Linked DNA regions of Bombyx mori. The protein of the gene in region 2 interacts with the protein of the main gene of each other region in a biochemical or structural test. Links are inferred from orthologs where the notes say so. Each region holds a gene or a part of one and is shown on either strand. Other genes may lie near its edges.

Region 1 (16,464 bases), on a different chromosome or scaffold from region 2:
TAGCCTTATGACGCAATACCAGAGACAATAAAGAGAATGATTATTACTAATTTTATGTATATTATTTGAATTATCTACGTTAAAGTGCAATAATACATATTTTCCTTATTTTAAGGGGATTTTAAAAAAAAAGGGTCAATTTCAAAATCATTCCATAAAATAAAGAAAACGTCGCAAAGGTACCAAAACATTTGCTTTTTTTCACCTTCGAGTTTCATAAAATTAGATTGACTGAAATTACCTATCTGGTTATTATAAGACATTAATACTAAATACATAGGTGTGCATATAATACAGGGTGTATTGAAAGGTGTGGGTTCTTATAAAAAAATAAAGACAGTGGTGTTGATTGCAAAAAGCATATTCGTAAATTTTATTATTTTGATGCTATTTTTATTATTTTCAACTGTCATCTAACTGATCGTAGTAAGGCGGAATACGCCTAGGTTGGAGTGACTACGATACACGAACTCACCGGATCTTACTAAAACGAATTATCCCTATTCTAATACATTAATGATACTTCCAATTTATTTTCAGTTAGGAATTCAAGAACACTTCCCAATACGCCTTGTACGTAGTAATATTGACGAGAGTCGGAACAAAAACTGACAAATTATATTTTGACATTTAATTTTAACTGTGGCAATTTAAATATACCGTATTTACGTTTCTCATTACACTGATCTGAACATAAATAACCAAATTTTCCGGAAACAAGAATCTGTAACTGTGTTATCAACAACGGGGAGATTTCGTTTCATATTAAAATCAAAAATTCTTAAGATATATGAAGATTATTTTATATTATAATTACCAAAAATAATGCGATATTTGATGTCTTTATTTTTGTTTAGATGCTCCTCAATCACAAATATTGTTTGATTACAAATAAACTTTACAAATCGTACATACATGACAGTTTAACCGACGAAAATTACTAAATAATTACACACATATTATAAGAAACGTGCCAATGTAAAATGGCACTAAAATATTAAAAATGAACACATCACAAGACTAATCTATAAATATAATATAATATTCAAACCGTAATAGCTATTCGTACATATCTTTTTTTTTGTATTTATTTATAGCTTTTCGCTAATTTTTTTTTTCTTATTAATACCTAATACGCTTGATAAATGGCTTTATTGAGTATAACATTTTGCTAGTACTCTACAAAAATGTAATTGTAATTATTAAAATTGAGAGTACGTACAGCGCAAAGTTTATAGTGAAGAAATAGAAAAATATTATGAAATTTTTAAATATATCGTCGACAAATAATACAAAATACGATTAAACTGTGACAGCCGTCTAGAGATTATCGCTGATACAGCCCAAATGGTATTAGTCAATCGTTTATATTAAAATAAATACTGTTGTGAAATGACAACTACCCTCGAAAATTTTATATCGGATTTTAGTGCTTAAAGACAACAATCTCATGAATTTTCCTGCATTCGGGTGCAATGAAAATACATTTTATTATTAAATCCACAATCCTCTTTTTTCTCCACGTCAATATAAGCTACGCATAACATTACGATTATAAACAGTGCCAACTAATATTGCTTATAAAATCACCACTAAAAATAACCTCAAATAATTAAATGTTAAGTTTTTAACATTATATTTCAACATGCATTCAACATTTCACATGCATGTGACTTCGTGAATTCTATAATTTAATAATTCCTATATAAATAATGTTCTAAATTGAAATGTCGGAATATATTACACATAATTTTTGACCAAAAGTGTATGAAACGTTCACAACAACCGTTTTTATCGATATCTGTATTTATATGTTTCTATGACGTTTTAATTGTACTCTGACTCGACCTACATCGGATAGGGCTTCGCTCATACGCATTTAAAAAAATATACATAAACGTCATTATATAAATATAATATAGTTCTATCTAGTACAGTTAAAGAGGTAGATTAAATATTGCAAATGTATTTCGAAATTGGTCGTTTTTTTTGTTTTTTTCATAAAAATAATTTAATACTTTTTTTGTTTACGTCTAAGTGCTTGGTAGCATATAGATCGCGAGCGCTGTGCTCTTGGCGAGGCGTTAGGCAACAAGAACAAACCGGTTGAAATGACAAAGCACCGTAGTCACGACGCGCGGTCCGCCGCTAATTCCACATGAACACACACGGATAACTTTAAGTTTGATGCTGTCAGCCACTATCCTGATCGCTACTCACACCGTACCAGCGTTTCTTACGTCACCACTCTTACGTCACATTTCAAAAGTTTGACGTCTCGTGATAACGCCCGCGATTCGACAAATCCAAGCAAGTTAAAAACGCAACGCGTGTAACCAACACTGAAAGCTTTTTCAAATTATTTTTTTAAAAGAGCTCTAAATTGTTTCAATTTGTAGCCTTTCAAAGAATAACTGTTCGAAAACATGTGATGAAAGCTATTCAACGAATAAAACGCAATCTATAAACGGTATGGTCGTTCAAGTTCTTAAATCCCAATCTAAATTATCATAGTTCGCGATGATCGGCCGCTGCACACAACAACATTATTAAAGATTTTGTTATTTTGTTAACAAAATTGTTCAGTTGTTTTTTTTCACTGATCACCGAAACTTAATTTAGATAATTTAATTTGATAATATACCAATCGCCAATATACACTAACTTGGCTAAACATTTCAAATTTTGACATTAGACAACATGGCGCAACTTTTGTCTTTTTGTCTTGTAGCAACAAACATTTCCAAACGACGAATATGGCAATACTGTCAAATGCCTGCGCATACGTATTGCTCATGTAGTTGATTATTCGTGCAAGTACATAATTTAATATGATAGGTTATTTTTCATTTTCATTAATAACATAATATTACGTAATTGAGTAATGCCTACTCGGCTCAGCTTTTAGCCAATAAACATCGAATTTAATTTATTTGACAAATGTTTTACTATTCCTGAATTAATAAACCGATTTAAACCAAGAAGACTCAATGCCGTAACTATAAAAATTCAGTTAAGGGAATTTTCGAACATTGTTTTTACAATAAATCTCATAGAACATTATAAATATACAATTAAGATTGAAAATATAATTATACATTACGTTAGTTAAAGGGAGAATTCGATATAAAAGGCGCATGTATATTTAGATATTTAATTAAAATGGACACTCAACATTAAAACTAAAGGATGAGATTCAAAATTTAACTGTAACGGTCAACATATTCGTATTATTATAATTTGTCATTACCGAGATATTACTAACTTTTTAATTACTTAATATTAGACACTGTTAGTAAATTACCCGTCATAGTTAAATGATGGACTTCATCATCATGGATTCAACAAAATAAAAATAAAACATCACAAACAACATTCCTTTCCATTCCATTACATGACATTGTTAAAAAATATAAAAATAAAATCAACTAAGTACATAAAAATGTACATATTTTTTTAATAATAAAACTACGACTACAAATCTTCCACGCCAAATGTCTAACTAAATATACGAGTAAACACGTTTGTGCATTACTAGAAAAGGATAGACTGCGAAATCAACAAAATCAAAATTAAACAGATTTTTTTTTATAATACATCATGTAGTATCGTTCTTTTAAGGTTAATAAACCACAGACTACTATATTAAAGAGAAATATTTCTAGAGAGAACTGGCAACAGCACAACAATAAGGTATAAGTGCAAGGAAATAAATAATTATAGAGTTATTATTCAAAGAGTAATGCACTTATTTTCGTCAAACATGGGTTCCAATAACAAAAAGAGATCTTTAATTTTTAATCAGCACAGAAGCTGTAATACTCTCATTTAATTTACCACTGAAACACCTATATTGATTGCCCTAGCTTGATTTCTATCATTTCATTATTCTTCCAATATATAAAAAGTCTCATAAAATACCAGATAAAGCTATTTTGTACGTAAAATTTCAACTTCGATATCAAATAATTCACAGCCCAATTAAAATAATGCCCGATCAAATTTTTTTTTATTACTATATTTACACAAATACTAAATTTGAATCAAGAACATACTTCAAAGCCCTTCCTTGTCTTTATTCGTAAATGTTTATCTTATAGGATTTGGTTTCGTGTTCTCTACAATTACATATTCGCTGTACTGAAATATTGTTAAGCACAACCTTACATTATAAATTTTAAAAGTAAACTAAGCATATTCGTACTACGTAGCTTTAAAGTTTATTTTTTTTATAACATCTTAGCAAATCGAAATTGACAATGTTCCCGTAATCACTGTTTTTGTTTAATAATTTTCAAACATAACTTTCGTTCTGTAATTGCTAAAATATTTCTATAATTTACATGGATATAAAAAAGATATTTAAACGAACAAATACCTCTTTTTTTAATTTTTTGATATCGTTTTTATATTTCCAAGTAGAGCATTTAGCGTAAGCGAGCAAGCAGCATTATGCGCACCCTACGTTCTTACGTATTCCCTACTGATGTTCAAACAATCATTTCTTTCCCAAGTGTCGAAATAAAAAAGAGTTAACATTATCAATAAACTCACCTAATATAACATTGCTTCAGATTCTATGAACACGATTTGTGACCTAAAAAGGTATTCCACAAAAACTTCTTATATTATTTTCTTTATGATTTTACCTTTTTCTACTATCAAAGTTTTCACGATTACAAAAATTTTGAAAAATATTCATAGGTATCCAAAAATAAGTATTCATATCTTTTTCATAAACACGATAATATGCAAAATTTTGAAATAAATCGCTCGCTTTGTTTGCCAACCGATCTTTGTAGAATAAGTACTCATTTATATAAGTATTAAATCACAAGTTCGACTGAAAATATCACAACGAATAAATAAGGCCAACCGACAGAGCAAGAAATGAGTGAAAAATATTGTCTCAATATCTACTGCAGAAACACATCAGAGGAGATATATTTTTGTATCGGTTCTTAGTTCATATTATTAGTATTATAGAAATGCGTTTGCACATCTCTACTTATTGACAGCTGTCAAAATTAGAACGTCAAAATCGAAACGAATACTCCGTCATCTTGTGATGCAAATTTTTGACAATATCAACCCATCACTCATACTTGCTTAGTTTTCAGTAGAAACAAACACTTAAACAGATATTACTAGCTATTGAAAAGCGAACACTTGTAACTTGAAAAATCTTTAAATGTGTCTCCGGTTATTTGCTGAAAAGTAAGCAAACTTGACTTGTGCCGTATTTTTGGTATAGCAACGATTTAAGTACCAAAAGGTGGGCATTCATGGCCTTAATTGTGTCAAGTCTGGTGTTATAGAGAAGAAATAGATCGTTAGTGTCTAATCTTTAAGAGACTTGGCTGCGACGACAACCCTCGAATTTTCGGTGCATACCAATATCACACATATAGTTCACCATTCGTTTTTTTTTTTTTTATCGCGGAAGTTAGTAGTAATCCTGATTTATCTCTAAGGAGCAATTTTTATTTTGGTGATTAGTGTTATTGTTGCCGAAGAAACAGTTTCGTTTAATAAAACTTTGTATTAATGCAATAAAATTAGTTAAGAATTAGCTGTAGCAGGTTAATGTGATGTTTTTGAGGAAATTTTCGGCGAAACTGCTGACCCAGAAATTAACCTACTCTGGAGTAGGACTGTTTGTGGCCACCATTGTTTGGATATTGTATCCCTGAATCAATTTAGTTCTTAGACTTGATGCTGAACGAGGTTGACATATGAATAATTTAGTTTTGCAAACGTAGCTTACAATGCGATAATGATCTAAAAAAAACTTGATTCATGATTTAGAAAATTAGGAATTCTTTATTTTTGTGGGTAAAAAAAGGAACGAATTACTAAAATCCACTTCTTGACGTGTTTACATTTTATAGAGAATCAAACAAAACGAAGAAATGAAAAATTCCCAAGTACAGTAATCAAATTCTTTTATCTATTAAAATATGCATCGATTTTCAACTAAAGCAATTAAACATCTTCATTCGAAACGAATGTAAGAGTAGCATTGTCTACTAATATTCGCACTTCAATAAGAAATGTGAAAAAATCTGAGCCAATGTTTAGCTTTGCAATACGTGTACTACTATAAAAAACTACACTTAGACTAGTATTGCTTTAATAACCATTTTTGTTTCTTTAAAGCCATAATATGTAAAGAAATAAATTTTATTAATTTTTTATCAATTTTATTACATCGCTTCTTTGGGAATGAGTATATATATATTAAAAGAAGTATACGAAAAATATGTAACAACTACGTATTCTATATTAAGATGCTTTTTTTTTTATTTTCACTTTTTCTATCACATTTTAATCATGAGAACGTTTTTTTTTTTAATTTTTTATCCTGTTTCATAAATCAATTTGATCAGCATCCAAGAGCTAGCACACACGAATGTATTATGCAAACCGGCTTTGAATTGAGTATTCACTTGCAACCGTCATATTGTGTTATAACCCTATTTTAATGACAGATGCGTTCCATCAAATCAAAAACCTACGAAAAATACACAATTACAAAAATATATATTTTTTTCATTTTTTTCAAAATGTTATCAATACAGACTGTGGTTACAGATTTGCATAAATACATAAATAACGTGCTTAGAAAAACAAAGCCAAGCGCTTTGAGTACCAGCTTTGAAAAGCATTCATCTAAATGTCAAATCCACGTCATGCAACAATTCCTTTACAAACAATCGACCTTACTATCCGTGGTTGGGTTCATAGAAATTTCGTCGTAATTTGACCACTATTATGGTAAAAAATCACCTCAAAACGTGACTCAAAAAATATATTACTCTTTTGGGCAAATCGAAGCGGATCAAATTTGTATGCTTATCCGCAAACACATTCTAAGTAGGGGCGCGCAAATCTGTAACCAACCTCATCAATGTTACATATTGTTTTACGATACGACTTTAGAATGCGGACCTGTTAGTATCGTTTGCATTATGCTAGAAAAATACTCGATCTCATCAAATTGGTGACGTGATTTGACCAAGCTCACCAATGTGTTGGCCAAAACTGGTGACGTCACTTCGCAATACAAACAAGAATCTGACATAAAGAGCTCACGTGCCATTCTATTTTGTTTTTATTTAGTGATAGTGGTAAGACGAGCAACAAGTCAGAGTAAGGCAACTTTGATAGAAACAAAATTAGAAATTTGTTAATTATTCATTTTGTTTCAATAAAAATGCTTTAGCTTTTTTATACGTTTGCTACAGATTTTAAATGTTTGTACGGTTATACTTTTATTTTGAAATATTGGTATTACGTTTAAAACGCAGAATGCAAAGAAACCGGGCCTAAACACAAGACTCAAGTAATATGGTACCTTAACAAAAAAAAGAAAACAAAGTACTAATTCTAATCCAGAAATCGATATCATTATCACTTCTCTTTTCATTTCGCGAACCCGTCATTGGAAAGCGTACAAAACTTGGGAGTCAACTAATTCAATCAGTGTAGTTTACTTTTTATTTTGCGGAGCCGTCATTGGAAAACGTACAAAACCTACAAGTCAACAACCTCAGTTAATGAACCCCGAATGAAGGCTGGCGAATGCTTACCCCCACACATGTACGAACGTTAACCCCGAGTCATCAGTTTTTAATAATTTTAATAACGTTTACCGTTCAACTTGTTAGCCACCACTACCACCGGTCTATATAAATGAAAATTTAACAAAACAAAAATATATTTTTTTCTTTTTTAATCCAAACGAGACCACAGCTACGTTCTAAACGGTCGTATCATAACAGCGAATAAACCAAATTAATCGTCATACATCAGACGACTAACGATGAAATAATGGCGCATCCAAACGCAAAAACACACACTTTACCGTTTACATAAAAACAGTATTAGAGTCCAGACCCGTATGTTAGGGCATAAAGAACGCAAATAACAGTTTCATGTTTATCTAAAATAGACACTAACATAGTATACCGGTCGTCGATTTTGCCTCGGCGCTGCGATGTTCTACACCCAGACTGGATGCTTCGGGACGCAGGGCGAGGACAAGGTCCAATGTTAGGGACGGTGTAGGAGAGGCGTCTCTTCGGTGCCCCAGTGGTAAGGGCCCTCGTCACGCTGTCGCCCGCTGCAGTTGTTAGTGCAGCACGCGGATTCACTTGGGCCAGCCTGAAATATTAGGATAACTTTAATATTCATACACCACACACATTTATATATTATACACTAGTGGTCCCCCGGTAGTCGAAATTCGATTATAGTTCATTGAAATTATAAGTTTGTACACTATTATGATTCTATTTTCAAAAACTATTTATTATACTTCTGTAATCACAAATTTCGCCAAGACTACACTATAGAAAAATATTAATAAAGACAAACCTTATTTAATCTATTCTCAATTTGACCACAGACTATAAGCAATAAGAAAAGTTTGACAATAAACAAATAGTATGCATGCGTGTGTTTGTCAAATACACGGTAGTGTCTGTAATGTATTTTTTATTTTATTTAATGTATTTTTTAAGCATAATTTAAAAACAATATTAACATTCTGCACTCCTCTATGTTCTCTATAAGTGTGGGAAATTTCATACTCCTCCGTCTGTGCAATTTTCGTAAGAAGGAGTACAAAGTTTTGCTTCACGTATTAATATATAGATATACTGGGTGTTAGGAGACCGCTTCCAAAAATGAAGACAGACGAGAGTACTAATGACACCTTGGACGGAAAAAAATAAATCCCGACTAAAAAAGCCCGACGTTTAATTACAAAGATAAATGTCTCGTATTAAGCGAAATTTCGCTTAAATCAAATAGCCTTTCACCCCTCGATATATATTTTCTGTTATCTCGTCTAATATACAGAACTGAATTACAGACGAGTCAGTTGAGTCGGACCTCTCGAGAATAAATCGAGAAGCGACATAATCGTGTACCGAGAATTATCTTTATATCGTCTTAGCATCTCAGATTCCTTAGGTATTGGGACTATATTTGGGACTATCGGGTAAAGGAAAAGTAATTCATACTGAACGGTCGAAGGATCACTTGAACGGTAGGAGGACCACTTGAACGGTCGATTCGTTCTTTTGTCGACTATTTTATATGTATACTAGCTGTACCCGTCCGCTTCGCTGGGCATTTAAAATTAACATTATTATTTCTCACCCCCACAAAGATTCTCATCATTAACGCCCCCGCAACTGTACTGGTGTAGAGTCCAACACTCATATAAATATTAATCTGTCCATTAAGTACATGTATTTTCTACATGAATACCAAGTTTCAAGTCAATCGGATGCATGGTTCAGTAATTATAACGGAACATCCGTAAATACCCCTGTAGATTTATATATATTAGTATAGAGTATAGATGAGAACGGTCAATTCATTCCTTGTCGTCTCGTTTGTGTCCGTCTTTTAGGAAGTCAAAAAATGTACCACCTGCCGCTAGTCACGTACGCCCTCGTTCCATTACACTCTTTATTTTTGAATTCTTGTGAAATGTCTGTCTTAATCTGTGTCTATGTCTAGTCTTTGTAGTTCTTAGGACTTTTTGGCGGGAACGCGAGGAGTGAAGTAGTGTGATTTGTTTTATTTTGTCTGTTTAGTGTTTTTCAGGTTTAAATGTGTAATAACGGTGGTTTATTAACCATTTAATATCTGTGAAAGTGCACAAATGTGGGAAAATGAAACAAAGTCGCTGGACGTAACTTCTTGGGATCCTCCAACAAGCCCACTAAAAAAAATTCAGTAAACGACCACCATTTTACTGAGATTATATATCATCCCATACCATTTCTTATCATTTCATTTCATTTCACTCAATATTATCATTTTTCATAAATATAAGAATATAAATTAAAATAAGACATGACTTAAAGGTCTTGGTTACCAGGTCATAAAATCCCTTCAAAAAAAAATTGTAGTTCTTATGACCTGTCAAAAGGGTTTTTTTTTATCAAAGAGGTTGCCCGCCACGACACATACCTTCGACAGATGCAAGTCGTATAGATGTAGCGTGCTGACGGACATGTCGTGCGTGTCGTCGCCCGGTTTCTGCTGCTGCTGGGGAGCGAGCCCCACGGCGCTGACTCCGAGAGCCGAACTGACACCAGCGAGACCTAAGGACGTCGAACGAGCTGCGGAACGTGAAGCGGGCCCCGGGATCGGCGGTTCCTCTTCATCACTCAGCTCGTCCATTTCCTGAAAACGTATCTTTCGATTAGACATACTCTCATTTATCAGTTATTTCGCTCTTACTGAAATCGATGGTAGGGGAAAATATCGTAATCTTTACATCTTTCTATCCATGTTCGATATTATATTTTATGGTAGGCAGCGGCTTGACTCTGCCCCTGGCATTGCTGACATCCATGAGTGACGGTGACCACTTACCATCAGGTGGACCGTATGCTCATCTGCCTAAAAGGCAATAAAAAAAATGAAAAATATACTAAACTCTACACAACTTTTTGATTAAAATTCTTCGAAAAAAAATTTCTGCCGTGAAGCAGTAATGCGTTTCGGTTTGAAGGGTGGGGGGGCAGCCGTTGTAACCATACTGAGACCTTAGAACTTATCTCAAGGTGGGTGGCGCATTTACGTTGTAGATGTCTATGGACCCCAGTAACCATTTAACACCAGGTGGGCTGTGAGCTCGTCCACCCAGCTAAACAATAAAAAAACCGTTAATATTCTTCGTTTTCTTCACCTTATTAATGGGATGGGTCTAGATGGGTTTGGCACAACTAAGTTTTCTCTTCCATTCTCTTCTATCAGCCGTCATCTCAACACTCACTCCCCTCTCTCTCATAACATCATTCACACACTCCATCCATGTCTTCTTCGGTCGACCTCTTCCCCCTCTACTTTGCACTACCATTTCCATACATCTCCTTGTCACATGCATCTTCTCTCTACGCTTCACATGTCCATCATACCACGCTAACCGTCCGCTCTTTATTGAAACTCGATTGAAACCGTTAATATAGTATTCAATCTCTGGCCAGATGAATGAGACTCAATTATTCCAATAAGAATTAGTAGTGATTCAATGAAATTCAAATTCTACAGTCATATGTTTGGTGATCAGCGAGAGCTTACGTTTCACGCCGATCCTGTACGTGTAGTCAAACTTCGATACAAAGTCCGATCGGTGTAGTGATAACTATTGATGGGGCGTTTTGAAATTAAATCTATTTTTATACGCTTTATATTAGCTTCACTTGTATGTATGTTTGTATGTTTGTAACTGAGTTCTTTAGACGCGACTTTGAACCACTTTAAACGGCCAGATTTCATTCAAACTTTGTAGATTTATCGAGTAAAAAGTGTAAAAAAAAGTTGTTATTTCCTATTTTTAGTTGAATTTTATATAAAGCGTGTTCTTTAGTTTTTTTAAACTATTATTTATTGTTCTGAATTAATATTCTATTTTACTTACTGGTAACCTGTAGTTCTGCTTGGTCTGTTGCGGATAATATGAGAGTACGGCTGGAAGTGGAGTTACAGCACCGAACAGACTCTGCTGGATATATGAACCAAGCATGGTTCTATTCTGTAAGTGTAAAAATATGTTTTTGTTAAAAAAAAAAAATCAACCTTCTACTTTAGTAAAATATGCTTTGCATCAATTTGTGATTTAATCGTCTCCATGTTATCACTTTATTATAATTTTTTGTACCAATTTAAAATGTAAGCTATATTTCCATTGTAAATATGTATTATAGAATTTGTAAACATACATATTTGTAAATATTATAAAAAATATTTAGCACGCGTGAATAAACTAAGAATTCAAACGAATGTCTCATGTTTGTTTAATTCAATTAACAATTCATTAGTATCCTTACATTATTCTAGATTATTAAAATGCATTATTTTTTATTTATTTGAAAGTGTTAACAATAGAATATAAACTACAGAAGGTTCATTCTGTAAAGCTTACATTTGTGATACGTCCATTTATTCAGATCAATTTGTACCTAAGCATCTAAAGGAAACATCCGTTTTATTTTTTAAAACTTTGGATGTACAAATATATTTACTTCTTAAAAGTTATACAAAATAAATAGATAGATGTGTATATTTCAATAAATTGTTGGTATTAAATAAATATTCATAATTTATTCCTATTTATTGGTAATTGGTAAATACAATAAAATATAATATAGTGTATACTCTAATCCTCTTAAAAATATTTGAGATTTATTAATTTATTTTAATTCATATAATTTATTTTAATTCATATAATATTAATTTTAATTCATACGACCAATTATATGCTTACACACTGAGAGAATAAGCTTGTAAAGTGTTTAGTCTAAAATATTACACTTACGAGTTGATTGTTGGAAGGAATCGCTTGGTACATGCTCTGCTTCAGTGATTTTAGGAAGTACCTCTGCGATGGCTCTGTGGGTTGCCAGCCTGGGTGCCGACATGAAAACGCTACCAGAGACAACTCAGTCTTCCCACCTTCACCTTGATCGTACTGCGTACTGCCTATCGGGATAAGTAAATATTTTGTTTTTTTTTTATTATTTCTAGATGGGTGGACGAGCACACAGCCCACTTGGCGTTAAGCGGTTACTGGAGCCCATAGACATCTACAACGTAACTGCGCCACCCACCTTGAGATATAAGTTCTAAGGTCTCAAGTATAATTACAACGGCTGCCCCATCCTTCAAACCGAAATGCATTACTGCTTCACGGCAGAAATAGGCAGGGCGGTGGTACCTACCCGCACGGACTCACAAGAGGTCCTACCACCAGTAATACCACCAGAAATATGAGTTATACAAAATATGGTTTAACACTTTTTTCCTCTATAAATAAATTTGCAAATCCCTTAATAAATGGTGTTTTACTATCTGATTGAATTCATACTTTATACAGAATCACAGCGTCCAAACTGACCCTCTGATTATTTACAATTTCAACAAACGATTTATTGATTAGTTTGCAATTAGCACTTAACCTAGAAGACCAATAAAACTGGACTGGACTGTAATAATTTACTTAATTAATTGATTAAAATCTTCAAAAATTATCATAAACGAGAAACTTGAGTAATAAAAAATTGAGTTCCAATTTACATTGGTTATGGTCAAATTTGAACATCTGTGGACTACCCTCTCTATTATTCATTTAAAAAAATAAGAATCACAACGAACCGTTCATTTTTTCAGCATATTTCCCTGGTGTTTGCCATTCAGGATGACCGTGACGTCGTATATCCAGCTGAAACGATTTTCAAAAATGCTTTTCTTTTTAAATGACTTTTACGTTGAATGTTGTCTCGAATTCTATGATATAAATATATAAATAATACCGACTTCACACTTAGTTGAATTTATGAACTGAAAAATTAACGACAAACTTCTTTAGGAAAAAAAATTATATTTATGTATATATTTTTATAACAATTAGTGATTATGCATAATTTTTATTTAATTTGGGGAGGACGATGGTAGGGCACTATATGAGCGCTATTGGAGTAATTAAATAAAACGTCGTAACTACGAGAATTATTACGTTTAAATGTTATTTACCACATATTCCTAACGTATATATATATATATATATATATATATATATATATATATATATATATATATATATATATATATATATATATATATATATATATATATATATATATATATATATATATATATTATGTATATATTAGTTAGATATTTACCTGCGCAAATGAACACACATCGCCGATACCCAGCACGTTGACTGTGAAGTTCCTATAGAAATCGACGATGTCGAGTGCTCGTGTCCGAAGCGACAACAGGACGAGAGGACAGAGCAGAGGACTTAACAACTCGAATATTATGTAAACCTGCAGTATAAGATATAATAAATAACAAAAACACGATAATAAAATTTCACATTAAACAAATAATTTCGAATCCGTCGCTTGCGACGAAGGGCTCCACGAGTAAATTAACCCTCAGACACAGCCCACTGAGTTTCTCGACGGATCTTCTCATTGGGTCGCGTTTCCGATCCGGTGGTAGATTCTGCGAAGCACTGCTCTTGCTAGGGTCAGTGTTAGCAACACTCCGGTTTGAGCCCCGTGAGCTACTAGTTAAGGTTACGCTGAAATAGCCTCACAAAGCTATCAGCATATAGCAAAAAAAAATTGGTTTAAATGATTTCGATTGGTCACAGTCCAAACGAAATTCACACTTCCGATCTGTTAACCCATCTCGAGCGGAGGCATCCAAATTAACAAAAAAAAAAAAACAAGCCGATAATAAATTCGGAAAACAACGTACCGCCCGAAACTGGAACAACTGTTGAAAATGTGCTGCGACGTCCTTCGTGTGGGCCCTACCGCGCCACGCGGCTGGCAAATAGTGAACGTGTCCCAGTACTTGAACAAACAGCTCCTCGCCGCGAGCCGGGCCCGTACAACCACCGCCCAGACGTTCTTCGTCGCCTATTAGAGCCCTAAAAACCACGTTTCAAAACGAATCCATGTGGTTAAATCTATATCGACGTTTGAAAGGCAAACGTGACTAAGCGACAATAACTGCTTTATACATAAATGATAGGCAATAACCATATTCAATACGCAAAAAAATTTATCTAAGTCTATTAAAATCATTCAGATCTTACAGCTAGATTCGTTAAAATAGATTTTTAGGTATTTCAACTTTAAATTAGTCTACTGTAAAGATCACGCATTGTCGCTTAGCCACGTTTGCCTTTCAAGCGTCGATATATTAATACGTGAAGCAAAAACTTTGTACCCCTTTTTAACGAAAATTGCGCGGAGGGAGGAGTATGAAATTTCCCACACTTATAGCGAATATAGAGAAGGAGTGCAGAATGCTAATATTTTTTTAATTATGCATAATACATTAAATCATTAAAAAAATATTACACACACTACCATAATATATTTGACACAACCCATACATACATAAATTACTTTTTGTTTATTGTCAATTTTCAATCTTTTGTTATTGTTTAAAGTCTTTGTCAAATTGAGAATAGATTAATATTGTTTGTCTTTAATATTATTTATCTATGGAAGATTATATTATAGAAGTATAATAGTGTTTGACAATAGAACTATAATAATGTTTAAACTTATTATTTCATTTACTTATAGTCGAGTTTCGACTACTGTGGGACCACTAGTTTAATTAAATTTGGCCGTGGCTGATGTTTGAGGCTTGAGTTCTAATAACTCGAATCCTGCTGAGACAATTGACGAGGAAATAAGATATCATGCGCACTGGAATTATTGAATTGGGATCATGGGCTTTATTGCAGAAATTAAACTATTCAATCCAAATGGATATAATTTTCACATCAATTACACATATCCTACTAAATCATTTTCTTAAAAAACTAACTTAAAAACATAATCTAGATTCGTTCCCACATAATTATGTAATATTGGACAAATAATCCTTACCCACATGATTCTTGTTCGTTTTTTGTTACTGCTATTGAACAAGCGTGCGCATATTTGTCTAAACACGGAATTATATCCATTGTAAATGTACATAAGGTTTTATTATCTTAAGCGATACTTAGATGTATAATGTTCTTCTAGTGTTTATCAGTATGCACGAAATCAAGTAATGCCTAAATAAATAAGTACATAAAACAGTATTTAACTACTCTTACCTTGCGCCGGCCACAACACACCCGAGAACCGTTATGATAGTGAGCACGTGTTCCACAGTGAGCACGTCTTCATCATAGACGGACAGGAAGACCAAAACACCCAACACGCTGGCCGAGAGAAACACTACATTTCTGTAAAAAAAAAACAATATCTCTAAAATATCCTAGACATCCTGGTTTTTAGCTGATGACAACTGCACGCGATTTAAACACGCCTGATCAACAACGTCAATAAAACCTGTAACATACTGTAAATATATAACATAAATAAAAAATAAATATTTAACAAGATGCACCCGCTGGCTTTATCTGTGTGTTTAAAATTGTTATTCAAAATAAAACACGTTGCATTATATCAACACAAAAACTTGCTTTCGTCACTCTCCCATGTCTATAAATTACCAATCGATTTATAGATCCATTACGTAATATGACGAACCAATGAACACACTATCGTACGTGTAAACTATGCTTTGTGTGATCAAGGTTGCAAATTATTTGTATGAGAAATTTCTTCCAAATTCATTGAGCATGAGCCAAAATATTTCATGATTTAGCTCACTCATACTGTCACATTTATTATATTAGTATGGTATAGATTACTATATTTGTATACGATTTAAAATAAAATAAGTGAAAGAAGCAAATCTACTACATACATACTATATACTACTACACATACTATAGTACTATAGTATACATAATACTACATACTAATATTATAAAGCTGAAGTTTGTTTTTTTTGTTTGAACGCGCTAATCTCAGGAACTACTAGTCCGATTTGAAAAATTCTTTCAATGTT
Region 2 (15,495 bases):
GCGGCGTCAACCGCGGCACGACAAATAATCGTGGGACCCAGTTTTTTTTTATTGCTTTGATGGGTGGACGAGCTCACAGCCCACCTGGTGTTAAGTGGTTATTAGAGCCCATAGACATCTGCAACGTAAATGCCTCACCCATCTTGAGATATAAGTTCTAAGGTCTCATGCCCGTATCTTTAGACGTTTTGTAAAATAGTCCTCCACTCTTAACTCATTCGATGATGCTCGAGCATTCCTCCCAAACTTACTCGAGTTTGGTATTTTTAGTCGACATTACAATATTCCTCAACTGTCCTCGAGTGAGGTAGAGAGGTGTTATTGCGTCACCACAACAACATCAGTTTGAGGAAAATTTGATCAAGCTAGCATCAAACCCATAGAGTTCTGTAGTCTATGGTCATTGTTTAATGTGTGTGAATTTGTTAACATGACACTAGATGAACTTGTTTGATGTTTTGGTTGCTGAGTTATTCGTAAATATGTGTGGGTGCGGTAAATCTGAAAGTGTATTATTTATTTTCTAACCTATTATTATTTTAGATTTCGCATCCGGCTTTGTATTTTTATTCGCCGCTTTTGTGTGATTTTGATTGCATTGTGTTGTTGAAGTGCTTTTCCACAACCACCAGTTTATTATTATATAAATAAAACTTATAATCGCATTGACTTTATTTATCAGGTAGTAAGCAAAATATGACTCTTATGTAGGTAAATAAAATAAAGAGTTTCAAATGTCTAATCACGAGCCTAAACAAGATTCTTAATCTCGAACTATTTACTTTATTAATAAATATTATCAAAATTAAATTATCAAAATATGCGGGATTCATGCACAGATCCAGGCCATTGCGCAACAATATCATATATTTCCATATGCGGTCCACATACTATTTGGACATTGATAGAAAACCAGCCTTGAAGAACGTTCAAGGTACGTCGCGACGTACCTTGATTTGACAGTTCGCTTACTTCACTCCGGTTAGGAAAATTTTCCAAGGACGTTTGAGTGGAGTTTATTTTTACGACTAAGCATATAATAGCCGGCAAACTTCTTGAGCATTTGCTGACGTAGTGGGGGTAAGTTCGCGCATGGTACACTCACGTGCAAAAACATTACTTACTCTGCGTCATAATGCTATTAAATTATTAAAATCAACATATGTATTTATTTATATATTTATTAGAACATCAACAAAACATATAGGTTAATAATTGTAATGATTTAATCTTGGGATAAAATAGATATTCCTTCTATTAAGTCAAAACTAGAGCTGTTGCCAGGTCTTGGTTCAGTTGAAGCGAAGCTGGTATTTGTAGTTTTTTTTTTCGTTATCATTATCTTGACCATCATCATCATCACTGTTTTCATCACCCGAGTCGCTATCATCGTGATGAGTCGACATAGGGCTCATCGGCGTAGTTTAGAACTCGGTCGATTCGGTCTTCTTTTTTGTCTATAATTAATTATTTTTTGAAGATATTTGATTCGTAGTAATCGAATGTTACTTTTTTCAATTACCAGCTTCCGATTATTTTCTGTTCTTTTTTCCATCTGAAGCCTAGCTCTTTCATAATTCGTCGTAAGCTTCATTCCGAGCCATTAAAATGTATATCTTCTTTAAATTTTTCGAAGCCTTTCTACGGTACGGAGTTTCGCTGCTTGTTATGTAGTTATTATGATTACATCTTTTTATTACAGATTGAACGAAACTATCCATTCCGGTAACTTTCTTCTTCCCTGATCTTTTCTTACCCGGAGTCCGAAACACGGCGAGCAAGCCAGAGCCTCTAGCTTCGTTAATAATGCACCTAACAGTACTCACTGATGTTTTTGTTGCTTCCGAAGTCTGTTTTAATTTTTCCATATCATTCTTCCCCTGTTTTACAATGAAGCAATATACGTCGTACACAAATTTTCTACTCTTTCTTTTGAATACTACACCAGTTTTTCACGGCATAGTGTTTGTTTTATAAAAAATCAACAAACACTCAACAAATAGCAATGGCAACTAAGTCCACAAGCAATTATAACAAATAACTTAACGATTAATAACGATAGACTTTTCACTGAACGCAAGCGTACTTTTGGGAGCAAGCGGAACGAGGGCGCGGTGCGGGACGCAAGGTTCGACTGATCTACCAATAACGCGCTCGATACGATTTCCCCTGCCGTCGAGCCTCACCCTCACCACCAAAGTAATCTAAAATTCGGTTCTGCGCAGTCAAGGTCATTTGCTCAAGAAGTTTGCCGGTTACTATACCAAAACGCGCGTTGGAGGTTGAGTCGAGTCGAGTTAGGCTCGTGTGAACGACTAAAGATACAGGGGTCAGTATAGTTACAACAGCTGCCCCACCCTTCAAACCGAAACGCATTACTGCTTCACGACAGAAACAGGGAGGGTGGTGGTACCTATCCGCGCGGACTCACAAGAGGTTCTACTACCTAGTCACTACATAGTATAAAACAAAGTCGCTTTCTCTGTCCCTATATCTATCCCTATGTATGCTTAAATCTTTAAAACTACCCAACGGATTTTGATGCGGTTTAATAGATAGAGTGATTGAAGAGGAAGGTTTATATGTATAATAACATCCATTAAATAGTGGAGAAATCAATAATAAATTACAGTTTTCGAAGCGAAGCGAGGGCGTGTCGCTAGTATTTTTTTTTATTGCCCTTCTAGGCAGACGAGCATACGGCCCACCTGATGGTGAGTGGTTACCGTCGCCCATGGACTTCAGCAATGCCAGGGGCAGAGCCAAGCCGCTGCCTACCGAATTAAATAAATTAACCTAGTAATAAGAAACTATAACCTAGTAATAAATAAATATAAATATTATCAACAGGTATCGCACAACAAAAGACATATCTCTGCCGTTCCGCGTCATCCCGCTCGTGCGGGAGGTGGGCCGCACCAAGATGGAAGTCAAGGTTGTGCTGAAGAGTAACTTCAAGCCCTCCCTGCTCGGACAGAAGATCGAAGTGAAGATTCCAACTCCGCTGAACACCAGCGGGGTGCAACTGATTTGCTTGAAGGGGAAAGCGAAGTATAAAGCCTCTGAGAACGCTATCGTGTGGAAGTAAGTGTAGGGTTTTTGTTAATCTATCTATACATATAAATAAAATTGGAGTGTCCGTTTTTAATATTGATATAACCGCTTTTAACTACATGCATATGAATATACCTAGTCAGGTCATAAATTCTGTCACATGTTTAATGTAAAATAATTGAAACAAGTTTATTCATTATGTAACCAATCATATACCAAAATGAACTTAACAAAACATAGATTCTTATGACACTAAAGTTTATTCAAAATGACCTCCGTGATTTTGAATACAGGCCTTCAATCTGCGCGGCCAGTCGTCTATCGCAGCACGAACGAGGTCCATGTCAATATCGGCGGCTGCCTTAATCAAGGATGTCTTGAGTGACTCCAAATTGGGATGAGGCATTGAGCACGCCTTTTTTTTTTTTTAAGAGATTTTATGTCCTGGTAACTAAGACCTTTAAGTCATGTCTTATTTTACTTTATATTCTTAATTTTATGAAAAATGATAATATGGAGTGAAATTAAATGAAGATGATTAATTTGAGACATTAATCAACTGGGATGAAATTTAATGAAATGAAATGATATGGGATGAAATATAATCGCAGTAAAATGGTGGTCATTTACTGAGATTTTTTCAGTGGACTTTTTGGAGGAACCCGAGAAGTTACGTCCAGCAGCTTTGTTTCATTTTCCCACATTTGTGCACTTTCACAAATATTAAACAGTTAACAAACCACCATTATTACACATTTAAACCTGAAGAAACACTAAATAGACAAAATAAAACAAATCACACAACTTCACTCCTCGCGTTCCCGCCAAAAAGTCTGAGCACGCCTTTTCCTCCAAGTGTTGCCATATCTTGTAATCTAACGGATTCAAATCTGGACTGGAGGAGGGCCAGTCTTCGTGCCGGATGAAGTCGATTTCACGCGCCGCCAGCCAGTCTTGTGTGCTCTTCGCTCTATGAGCTGGCGCCGAATCTTGTTGGAATACCCAGTGCCTGTTATTGAACATGGTATGAGAAACAGGTTCCACAAGGTTCGTCAGGACTGTATTTTGATACACAACTGCATTCGTTTTTACACCTTTCTCACAAAAATGTACCTCTGTTAAGCCCCAATAAGAAACTCCCAACCATACCATGAGCGAGGATGGAAAATGACCTCGTTGGACACGCGGAATACGGTTGCTCGCTTCTTCACTACTGTGTGCGTACACCTTATCATTTTGTTTGTTGTAGCTCTCTTCTACGGTAAAAACTTTTTCATCCGAAAAAAAGAATTTCCCGATATTTTTTTCCCGCGTACCGCTTCAACAAAGCGCGGCATCTCTTCAGTCTCAGGTCCATTAGACGAGCATTCAAACGATGTCCTGTTTTTCTTCGATATGCCCGAAGCCCTAAGTCTTCATTTAACACCCTTTTCACCGTGGTTCTGCTTAACCCCATCTGAAGGGCCAACAGTTTCTGCTTACGTTTGGGATTTCTTTGAATTCGCGCCTTCACAGCTTTTATCACTGCTGGAGTCCTAACAGACCGAGGGCGACCACTTCTTGACCTGTCATCTACACTAGAGTCTTCATTGTATGGTTTGATGGTACGATAAGCGAATCTTTTGGTTATATTCAAATTTTTCAGTATGTTAAAAATTTGAATTGGCGCGTAACCGCAACGATGCAACGCAATAACTGCAACACGGTCTTCTTTAAGCGTCCACTCCATATTTAAAAATGAGTAAAATTCTAAAAGTATACATTTTTATTTTCATGAACAATTCGAAATTCGAATTCAATAAACTTTTTTGTGGCCAGCATTCTAAAAGAAAAGTTTTTACTGTGTGACAATACTTCTGACCTGACTAGTTATATACGGTACATACACCAAAATAACATTTTTTACAATTTTTGTCTGTCTGTCTGTTTGTTCCGGTTAATCTCTGGAACGGCTGGACCGATTTTGACGGGACTTTCACTGATAGGTAGCTGATGATATAAGCAGTAACTTAGGTTTTTTTTAGACTAGCTTCGCCCCGCGGCGTCACCCGCAGTACGACAGTAACCACGGGTAACGTTGCGGGACTCAACTATCAATAATAAAATTTAATGTTTCCGAAGCGAAGCGAGGGCGGGTTGCTAGTAAATAATAAAAATCTTACGTTACGGACGTTTTTTCCCGGTTAGGGTACCCCTCTGCATCGTCCCATAAGGAACTTCGTTCCAAAATATACTTTGGTGTAGGTAATCGTGCTAACGGTTTAAATGAATTTTGAAAATGTTCAGGATCAAGCGCATGGCGGGCATGAAGGAGACCCAGCTGTCTGCGGAGATTGAGCTGCTCGAGACCGACACCAAGAAGAAGTGGACGCGCCCGCCCATCTCCATGGGGTTCGAAGTTCCCTTTGCACCCTCCGGATTCAAGGTGATCCTTGTTGTTGTGCACGACCAACGAGCTACACAAATCATTAGAGAGTTGTGCTTAAAAATAAGGGGCTAATAAAAATCACATATCGAGAAGTGAAAGGCCATTTGGTTTAAGCGACATGTTTCTAATGAAATACGCACTCAACAAATGTTCACGATTGACTTCCACGGTGAAGGAATAACATCGTGTAATAAAAATGAAACCCGCAAAATTATAATTTGCGTAATTACTGGTGGTAGGACCTCTTGTGTGTCCGCGCGGGTAGGTACCACCGCCCCGCCTATTTCTGCCGTGAAGCAGTAATGCGTTTCGGTTTGAAGGGTGGGGCAGCCGTTGTAACTGTACTGAGACCTTAGGACTTATATCTCAAGGTGGGTGGCGCATTTACGTTGTAGATGTATATGGGCTCTAGTAACCACTTAACCCCAGGTGGGCTGTGAGCTCGTCCGCCCATCTATGCAAAAAAAAAAGATATAGATATACTGACTTAGATATACTGACTATCCCATTACACAGGAGCTTACATATGGACAATGTTAAGTAGACGATGGTGGGGATGCTACGAAGAGTCGCACAAAGAGGAGACCGAGAACGTCTAATGTGTTCTATCTCATTCTCTCGCCGGCTGAATCCTATACATTTATATGTTTGTGTCTATGGACTTATTTTTTCCTTTCATCGAGTTTGAAATCACGATTCTAAAGAAGTTTCACTTCAAGAAGGGTTTTATCACATACACACGTTCAAAGATGTCAAACTATTTAATCTTCAAGAAGAGACTTGATGTAGCACGTCGGCCGTTCTCGTTATCATCATTCTCCTGCCCTTCTCCCAGTCACCTGGGGCCAGCGCAACATCTATCATATACCATTACTTCGCTCACTCCCCCCTTACACATATCGTCTTTCACGCAAAGCATCCATTTCCTCTTAGGTCGACCTTTTCTTTTAAAGCCTTCCACGTTCACAGTTAAAACTCTCTAAAAACCTCATTGTTATATCATTCAGGTGCTCCTATGTTGTGATTGGGGGCGCGTTGTAATAACTACATAGCCGATTCTATGGACCGAATGGTAAACAGTCGACATCGCCCAAAACACGTCATTACGGATCCTCCCGATCCACTAACGGGGCTTTTAGGTACCTCAAGCACCAGTCATCGTTCTCGTTGAACCCGTCGCTTGAGACGAAGGGCTCGACGAGCGAATTAACCCATAAATACAGCCCACTGAGTTTCTCGCCGGATCTTCTCAGTGGGTCGCGTTTCCGATCCGGTGGTAGATTCTGCGAAGCACGGCTCTTGCTAAGGTTTGTGTTAGCAACGACGTCAGGTTTGAGCCCCGTGAGCTCACCTACTAGTTAAGGTTGCGCTGACATGGTCTCTCCCTAGACCATCAGCTTCGGTAGTAAATAAAAAGGGCGCGTTTGGTCGGCAGGTTCGCTACCTGAAGGTGTTCGAACCGAAGCTGAATTACTCGGACCATGACGTCATCAAGTGGGTGCGCTACATCGGACGCTCCGGACTCTACGAGACCAGGTGCTGAACGACGCGGCGACGGTGAGTACTAGTAAGTAGAGAAGCAGGAGTTCTTTTATTGCTAAATTGGCTGGACGAGCTCATCACCTGGTGTTAAGTGGTCACCGGAGTCTACAGACATCAGCTATGTCAATGCCGTCACCTATTTTATTTATTTATAGCTTAGATAAGTGGACGAGCTCACAGCCCACCTAGTGTTACGTGGTTACCAGAGTCTACAGACATTTCAACAGCTGCCCCACCATTTAAACCCAAACGCATTACTGCTTCACGGCAGAAATAGACGGGGTGGTGGTACCTACCCGTGCGGACTCACAAGACGTCCTACCACCAGTGACTAGAACCGACCGAAGAAGACATGGATGGAGTGTGTGAATGACGATATGAGAGAGAGAGAGAGGAGTGAGTGTAGAGCGTAGAGCTTAAACCAAATAGCCGGTTCGATATAGTCTATTGTTTTGTTACAGATTGGCTTCGTGAATCGCAACGAGTACGAATATTCGAAAAATACAACAAAAAAAACAAACCATACAAATACAATTTAATGTAATAGCTATGCTGTATATAATTTTACGTTTCATTTCGATTAGGGAATATTCATAATAAAATAATGTAATAATATTTTATTTTTATTCTTTTTTTTATTAGTAAATTTAGCATTTTTTTTTATTGCTTTGAATATCTTAATTAAAAAAATGTTGCTTTTATTTTAAAATGTTTGAAAGGCACATGGAATAGACTACAGTCTTGAACATTAAAAGATATACCCTAAGTAATTATTTTTAATTTTCGTATAAAATCAAATAAAATGGTAAGGTTTCAATTATGTTTTATTAAAATAAATAGTAAAGGCGTAGTTTTTATTTATTCATTACATCATTACAAGTTTGTTTCTAATATTTTACTTTTATATATATATATTTTGTATCATACGAATAACATTTTAGCTAATCTAAATAACGATAGCTCTGAAAACTACCAACCCGTCTGATCTAGACCGTCACAGAAGTAATTACTATTAAGTCGTATAAAGATTGTCACAGCTATGTTTTATGAGACAAATACCTAAAAAACTTCAGACGGTATATTACATATATATATATTATCGTGACGTAAGCGGTGTAGTTAAAATAAAATAAGCTTTTCCTATGATAGATAAACCTTAAAGTTAGTCGGTTATCTGTGTCGAATCTCAAAATGAAAAATTAAAGCATTTCTTGAGCTTTTCGATGAAAAATTATGCATAAATATATTGTGTTATTTGTAGCCATTCCCGTAGATGCTGTGAGTATATAGAAGTAGTTATTGTTGTACGCTGTTCTACCTTATATATTAATTGAATCTATAGTTCGAACTTAACGTTATGTCTTGAAAATCTAGGCAACTAGTTAAATATTTGATTATATTTATAATTAATATATTATACCATACTAATATATTCGTGTAACAGTGTAGTGTGAAAGTATATAATAAAGAATTAAAAAAAATAATTGGCATTTGTTTTATTTACCAGAAATCGGGTTTAGAGCATGTGTGACGTCATATTTAGTGAGACAATCATAATTTATATTTGGTTAATCAATATTGGCCCAAAAGACCGGAAAATTTTACATATCGTATATATCTAGATCAGAGGTGTATATGTAAAGGGGAAAAATAATTCGTTCACGCGGTCCGCACACACTTGTACACCCTCCAATCCCTACAATCCCGATTTTGCAGGTTAGCCGTTGAAGTTCCGTGGTTCGTGAGGAACGTTAACCTACATGACGACTTGGACCTCGAATCCATCCGGAAACATATGAAGTCAGCGTCGGAACGGTACTTCGATAAGGCTATGCGTCATGATAATCGCCTTATCGTTGCCGCCGCTGACTACTCCCCGAATCCTGATCATGCAGGAGCCAGTCACCGTCGACGCCCTAGACACGTCCTTACGGATCCATCAGATCCAATAACCTTTGCATTAGACGTCTTCAGCGCTAACACTACGAGTAGGCTTAGGAACCCCGGTAACCATACTCGTCGAACTTTTTTTTTTATTGCCCTTGTAGACACGAGCGTACGGCCCATCTGATGGTGAGTGATTACCGTCGCCCATGGACTTCAGCAATGCCAGGAGCAGAGCCAAGCCGCTGCCTACCGCTTAAAATAGTTCAACGTGCAACCTAACCCATTCACCATCAGCTCGCTGAGTTTCTGGCCTATCTTCTCAGTGGGTCACGATTCCGATCCGGTAGTAGATTCGTTCACGAAGCAGTTACTCTTAAGTTGTTAGGTCTCCTTTGGAGGCGGTCGGGTAGCTGTTAACAAATCTCACTCCTCGTTGAGCCCTTGCTCATCCACCTTTTTTTTTATTGCTTAGTAGTTACTGGAGCCAGTCAGGTCATAAATTCTGTCACATGTTTAATGTAAAATAATTGAAACAAGTTTATTCATTATGTAACCATTCATATACCAAATTGAACTTAACAAAACATAGATTCTTATGACACTAAAGTTTATTCAAAATGACCTCCGTGATTTTGAATACAGGCCTTCAATCTGCGCGGCCAGTCGTCTATCGCAGCACGAACGAGGTCCATGTCAATATCGGCGGCTGCCTTAATCAAGGATGTCTTGAGTGACTCCAAATTGGGATGAGGCTTTGAGCACGCCTTTTCCTCCAAGTGTTGCCATATCTTGTAATCTAACAGATTCAAATCTGGACTGGAGGAGGGCCAGTCTTCGTGCCGGATGAAGTCGATTTCACGTGCCGCTAGCCAGTCTTGTGTGCTCTTCGTTCTATGAGCTGGCGCCGAATCTTGTTGGAATACCCAGTGCCTGTTATTGAACATGGTATGACAGACAGGTTCCACAAGGTTCGTCAGGACTGTATTTTGATACACAACTGCATTCGTTTTTAAACCTTTCTCACAAAAATGTACCTCTGTTAAGCCACAATAAGAAACTCCCAACCATACCATGAGCGAGGATGGAAAATGACCTCGTTGGACACGCGGAATACGGTTGCTCGCTTCTTCACTACTGTGTGCGTACACCTTATCATTTTGTTTGTTGTAGCTCCCTTCTACGGTAAAAAAATTTTCATCCGAAAAAAGAGTTTCCCGATATTTTTTTCCCGCGTACCGCTTCAACAAAGCGCGGCATCTCTTCAGTCTCAGGTCCATTAGACGAGCATTCAAACGATGTCCTGTTTTTCTTCGATATGCCCGAAGCCCTAAGTCTTCATTTAACACCCTTTTCACCGTGGTTCTGCTTAACCCCATCTGAAGGGCCAACAGTTTCTACTTACGTTTGGGATTTCTTTGAATTCGCGCCTTCACAGCTTTTATCACTGCTGGAGTCTTAACAGACCGAGGGCGACCACTTCTTGACCTGTCATCTACACTAGAGTCTTCATTGTATCGTTTGATGGTACGATAAACGAATCTTTTGGTTATATTCAAATTTTTCAGTATGTTAAAAATTTGAATTGGCGCGTAACCGCAACGATGCAACGCAATAACTGCAACACGGTCTTCTTTAAGCATCCACTCCATATTTAAAAATGAGTAAAATTCTAAAAGTATACATTTTTATTTTCATGAACAATTCGAAATTCGAATTCAATAAACTTTTTTGTGGCCAGCATTCTAAAAGAAAAGTTTTTACTGTGTGACAATACTTATGACCTGACTAGGTATATTAATTCCTTACATATGAAATTAGCGTTTTGTCCTACTGACCACTTTGATCTGAAATATCTCCGCTTTGATTAAGAATTCCAAATTAAAATTTATAAATTCATTTAAAACAGTCATTCATTTGTTTTTTCCTCATAATTTTTTTCTTTGGCGTCGCTTAATTCTGCGTAATGGTAAACATGAAATATCTGCATATTTACGAGTATGAGTATGAGTTCTGCAGCACGGATCCACGGTAGGATCCGTGCTGCAGAAACAACTCGAAGGATTAATGATGTGTAGGGCGCTGGTGTCACAAAAGAAAGCACGGTACGCTTTTTGGTTTCAACGTTTTCGTTCTGGAAATTTCGACCTTCAGAACCAACCGTGAACGGCCGGAGACCAAAGTGGAAAATGAAGAATTAAATGCTATTGCGGAAGCGGATCCATCACAAAGCATAAGCGGATAAAACTGTATTAATCCACTTGAAGCAAATCGGGAAAGTAAAAAAAACTTGAACGATGGGTACCTACCTCATGAATTGAGTGAATCGAACTTGAAAACACGCATCGACTGCTGTGTTACTTTGCTCAATGGACACAATAATTAAGGGATTCTAAATCGTTGGGGCCAGAAAGTTCTTGAGTGGTGACCGCGTACTGGAAGACGTAGCGTGGGTAGGCCTCCCACAAGATGGGCCGACGATCTATTGAGGTTCGCGGGGATCCGCTGGATGCAGGCAGCGCAGGAACGGTCTTTGTGGCGAGGCTTGGGGGAGGCCTATGTCCAGCAGTGGACGTCCATGGGCTGATAAGAAGAAGAAGAAATCGAATCATTAGTTGTGATGAAAAGTGGATACTGTACGATAATCGAAAGCGCTCGTCGCAATGGCTGAACCCCGGAGATCCAGCCAAATCCTGCCCTAAATGAAAATTGACTCAGAAAAAGTTACTTGTGAGTGTTTGGTGGATTAGCGCCGGTGTCGTTCACTACAGCTTTCTTAAATCTGGCCAAACGATTACGGCAGATATCTATTGTCAGCAACTGCAAACCATGAAGGAAGAACTAGTTGCTAAACAACCGAGATTGGTCAATCGCTCTAAGCCACTGCTGCTTCACGACAACGCAAGACCACACACTGCACAACAAACAACCACTAAGTTAGATGAGCTACAATTGGAATGTCTGCGACATCCACCGTACTCTCCGGAACTAGCTCCAACAGATTAATATTTTTTCCCGAATTTGGACAACTTCTTGGTAGGCAGCGGCTTGGCTCGTCCCCTGGCATTGCTCACGTCCATGAGCGACGGTAACCACTCACCATTAGGTGGGCCGTATGTTCGTCTGCCTATAGGGCTATAAAAAAAAAAAAAAAACTTACAAAAAAAAATCAACTCCGACGCGGCAGTCCAAACCGCCTTCAAAGGGTTTATTGATTCTCGCCACCATGGTTTTTTTTTAGTAAAAGAATCAATGAACTACCTATGAGATGGCAAAAGTGCATAGATAACAACGGTGCATACTTTGATTAATTAAATACATTTTACAACAAAAAAAATATGACTTTGTATTCCTCCCGTACAAAACGCCAATTTCATATGTAAGGACCTAATATTTATCTTTGTCGTAAGAAAAGACAAGATTCGGGGATCGCGATAGGGGGAACGCTTTCAAGACCTTAAAGAAGAAAGCGGTTTCGCCACCTCACCAGTGTGCTTAGTGAGAGGTTTTTAAAGTTCTCGATAGCGTAAAAGTTAAATCAAATTTGTATGCAGATCAGTGGAACAGCGCCCCTAGCGGCAAACGTAGGCAAACGTTCCAACTCCATACAAATTTGAGTTAACTTTTACGCGATCGAGAAGTTAAAAAACTCTCACTAAGCGCACTGTTTCAAAATCGAGATTCGTCTTTTACGTTAAAATTTCAAAAATACTTCCTGCGTTCTCACAAGACGTGCAGTCGTAACTTCACCAAGCGCCACACAAGGGAATCAAGTTTGGAAGAACGATTTTTCTTGGCGGAGCGTGACTGAGGCAAGAGATTTGTTCCTGAAGTAAAATTAAGAGGTTGCGGTCCTAAGTTTCAGATATTAATTAATTATACAAAACGCGACCGAGCCCTGTTTATGTACAACTCATTTATATTTGCTCGAGTTACGAATCCCAACGGTAATGTTGCGAAATGAACGAACATATTTGTTTATTTTACTCTTCATTATACAGAAAACAGACTAACAGCATAACCAAATGAAATATTCAGACTTTATCGTATTAACACTACTAGGGGTCCTTCGGTAGTCGAAATTCGACTATAATTAATTGAGATTTTAAGTTTCAACATTATTGTACTTCTGTAATCACAGATTTCGCCAAGACTACACTATAGAAAAATAACATTAAAGAAGAACAATATTAGTTTATTCTCAATTTAAACAATAACAAATGCTTGACAATAAAGAGTATAGGTATGTGTTGTGTCAACATACATGGTAGTGTGTGTAACGTTTATTGACTTAATGTATTTTTTATGCATAATTTAAAAAAATATTGCACTTCTTCTCTATAAACACGTACTCAATAAGTGTGAGAAATTTCATACTACTCCGTCTTTTTTTTTTATTGCTAAGATAGTTGGACGAGCTCACAGCCCACCTGGGGTTAAGTGGTTACTGGAGCCCATAGACATCTACAACGTAAATGCAACACCCACCGCGCGGACTCACAAGAGGTCCTACCACCAGTAATTACGCAAATTATAATTTTGCGGGTTTCATTTTTATTACACGATGTTATTCCTTCACCGTGGAAGTCAATCGTGAACATTTGTTGAGTACGTATTTCATAATTCAATTTCGTGTTTCACACGGAGATATTTTAACTGAGGATAAGGGCAGCCTATAGCCGTAGTAAATGGAGACCGGTTACTTGAATTCACTGATTGAGCTCACGTTTAAGAATCACGAAAATTTTTGGTTAAAAGAGTATAATTCTTTCATTAATTGGATAATATCGCTTTGTTTTGGACACCAATAGCTTAGAAACAAATATAGCTTTATTAGCTTTAAAATAAATATACCTAGGACACGCTTTTCAATGGGTCGAAGTAAACTATTATAAATACAACACAGAGACGAACGGTTCAAATTTTTAAAAAATACCGCATAGACTGCAAAAGTCGATTGAAAGTAATGTTATGTTTGACGTCATTTGTGGCCAGAACAAACGAAAAATTACAGGACTAGATTGAAAAATTTCTTATAGAGTGCAGTAAGTAGTATGACCTCGAGCAGAGAGAGAAATCTTGAAACATCATGAGACGCGTCAAGTCTGCTCCCTTCAACGGCACGTGACGACCATGGACCACTCTGTCAAGAATGAAACGATTGAGTAAAGAAGAAGCACAGATCGTATATTAATAAACAATGATTAGCTATTTACGGAATAATGCATTGTAATTGCTTTTAAGCTTGACGCGAAAACTAATTAAATCACAAACGTAGTGATCGTGTCATTGATTTAAAAAAAAATTATTGCCCTACTGGCATACGAGCATACGGCCCACCTGATGGTGAGTGGTAACCGTCGCCCATGGACTTCAGCAATGCCAGGGGCAGAGCCAAGCCGCCGCCTACCGCTTAATACTCTCCACAAGCCTCATTTGAAGAAGGACATGTCATAGCGCTCGGGAAACACCGTGGAGGGGAGCTCATTCCATAGCCGGATGGTACGGTATAATGGTAATTTAATTAATATTAATGGTAATTTAATTAATATTAATGGTAATTTAATTAATATCCGTAACAAAAAGTTTATGTTTTATATAATTGGCGTCATTTGTCCGTACGCCCCATTTGGAGATTCGTGAAAAAAGATGAGATGTTCTGAAATCAATTGAATTAATAAAGCCGAAATGTCCAAAGCGTGAAGCTGAAAAACTTTCTAAATTTTTATCACTTTATTTTATGAGAAACATGTAACAATGTTATTTATCCTTTGCCAAATTAAATATTTCATTTGTGGACTTCTATTTCGATTCGGTTTGATCTCTCAAAAGTGTCAGGGGTTGTTATTTCAAGAAAGGGCATTGTTTGATTGTGATTTTGAAACTAAGCAGTAAAAGAAAACTTATAGAGAAAATCATAGATTTATGTTTAAAATCAAAACAATCAGTTTTTTTTTTATTGCTTAGATGAGTGGACGATCTCACAGCCCACCTGGTGTTAAGTGGTTACTGGAGCCCATAGACATCTACAACGTAGACGCGCCACACACCTTGAGATACAAATTCTAAAGTCTCAGTATATGTAGTTACAACGGCTGCCCCACCCTTCAAACCGAAACGCATTACTGCTTTACGGCAGAAACAGGCAGGGCGGTGGTACCTACCCGCGCGAACTCTCAAGAGGTCCTACCACCAGTAACAATGTTATTTATCCTTTGCCAAATTAAATATTACATTTGTGGACTTCTATTTCGATTCGGTTTGATCTCTCAAAAGTGTCAAAGGTTGTTTGTTATTTTAAGAAAGGGTTTGTTTTTATTTTAAGAAAGGGTTAATTTGATTGTGATTTTGAAACCAAGCAGTAAAAGAAAACTTATAGAGAAAATCATAGATTTACGTTTAAAATCAAAACATTACCAGTTAAGCTTGGTCATTGATTTCGAATCTTAGCAACGAATAAAAAATCTGCATTTCCCAATATCTCAAAACGTTTTACGGTGCGCTTTAGAATGCTTTGCCAGCAAATCTAAGTTAATAACTTAAGAAATTGTTATAAAACGGGTTTTTGCAATCCGAAAACAAATCTA

The links.
Region 1: the proteins of AP-2 complex subunit mu (region 2) and autophagy-related protein 9A interact in a biophysical measurement, tested with the Homo sapiens proteins (4 studies listed by BioGRID and IntAct, with this or other methods). The link is inferred for Bombyx mori from reciprocal best matches to the Homo sapiens genes AP2M1 and ATG9A.

What each region holds. Positions count from the first base shown.
Region 1 is NC_085107.1:14,151,919-14,168,382, reverse strand, and holds part of autophagy-related protein 9A, read right to left. Parts: intron 15,794-16,464; coding exon 15,662-15,793; intron 14,471-15,661; coding exon 14,296-14,470; intron 13,857-14,295; coding exon 13,710-13,856; intron 13,247-13,709; coding exon 13,180-13,246; intron 12,508-13,179; coding exon 12,344-12,507; intron 11,561-12,343; coding exon 11,447-11,560; intron 10,207-11,446; coding exon 9,991-10,206; intron 8,167-9,990; coding exon 8,056-8,166; 3' UTR 1-8,055. UniProt on the Homo sapiens protein: Phospholipid scramblase involved in autophagy by mediating autophagosomal membrane expansion. Cycles between the preautophagosomal structure/phagophore assembly site (PAS) and the cytoplasmic vesicle pool and supplies membrane for the growing autophagosome.
Region 2 is NC_085114.1:2,140,805-2,156,299, forward strand, and holds the end of AP-2 complex subunit mu, read left to right. Parts: intron 1-2,850; coding exon 2,851-3,084; intron 3,085-5,340; coding exon 5,341-5,479; intron 5,480-6,917; coding exon 6,918-7,025; 3' UTR 7,026-7,039; exon of another isoform or gene 7,040-7,049; intron 7,050-7,485; 3' UTR 7,486-8,508; downstream 8,509-15,495.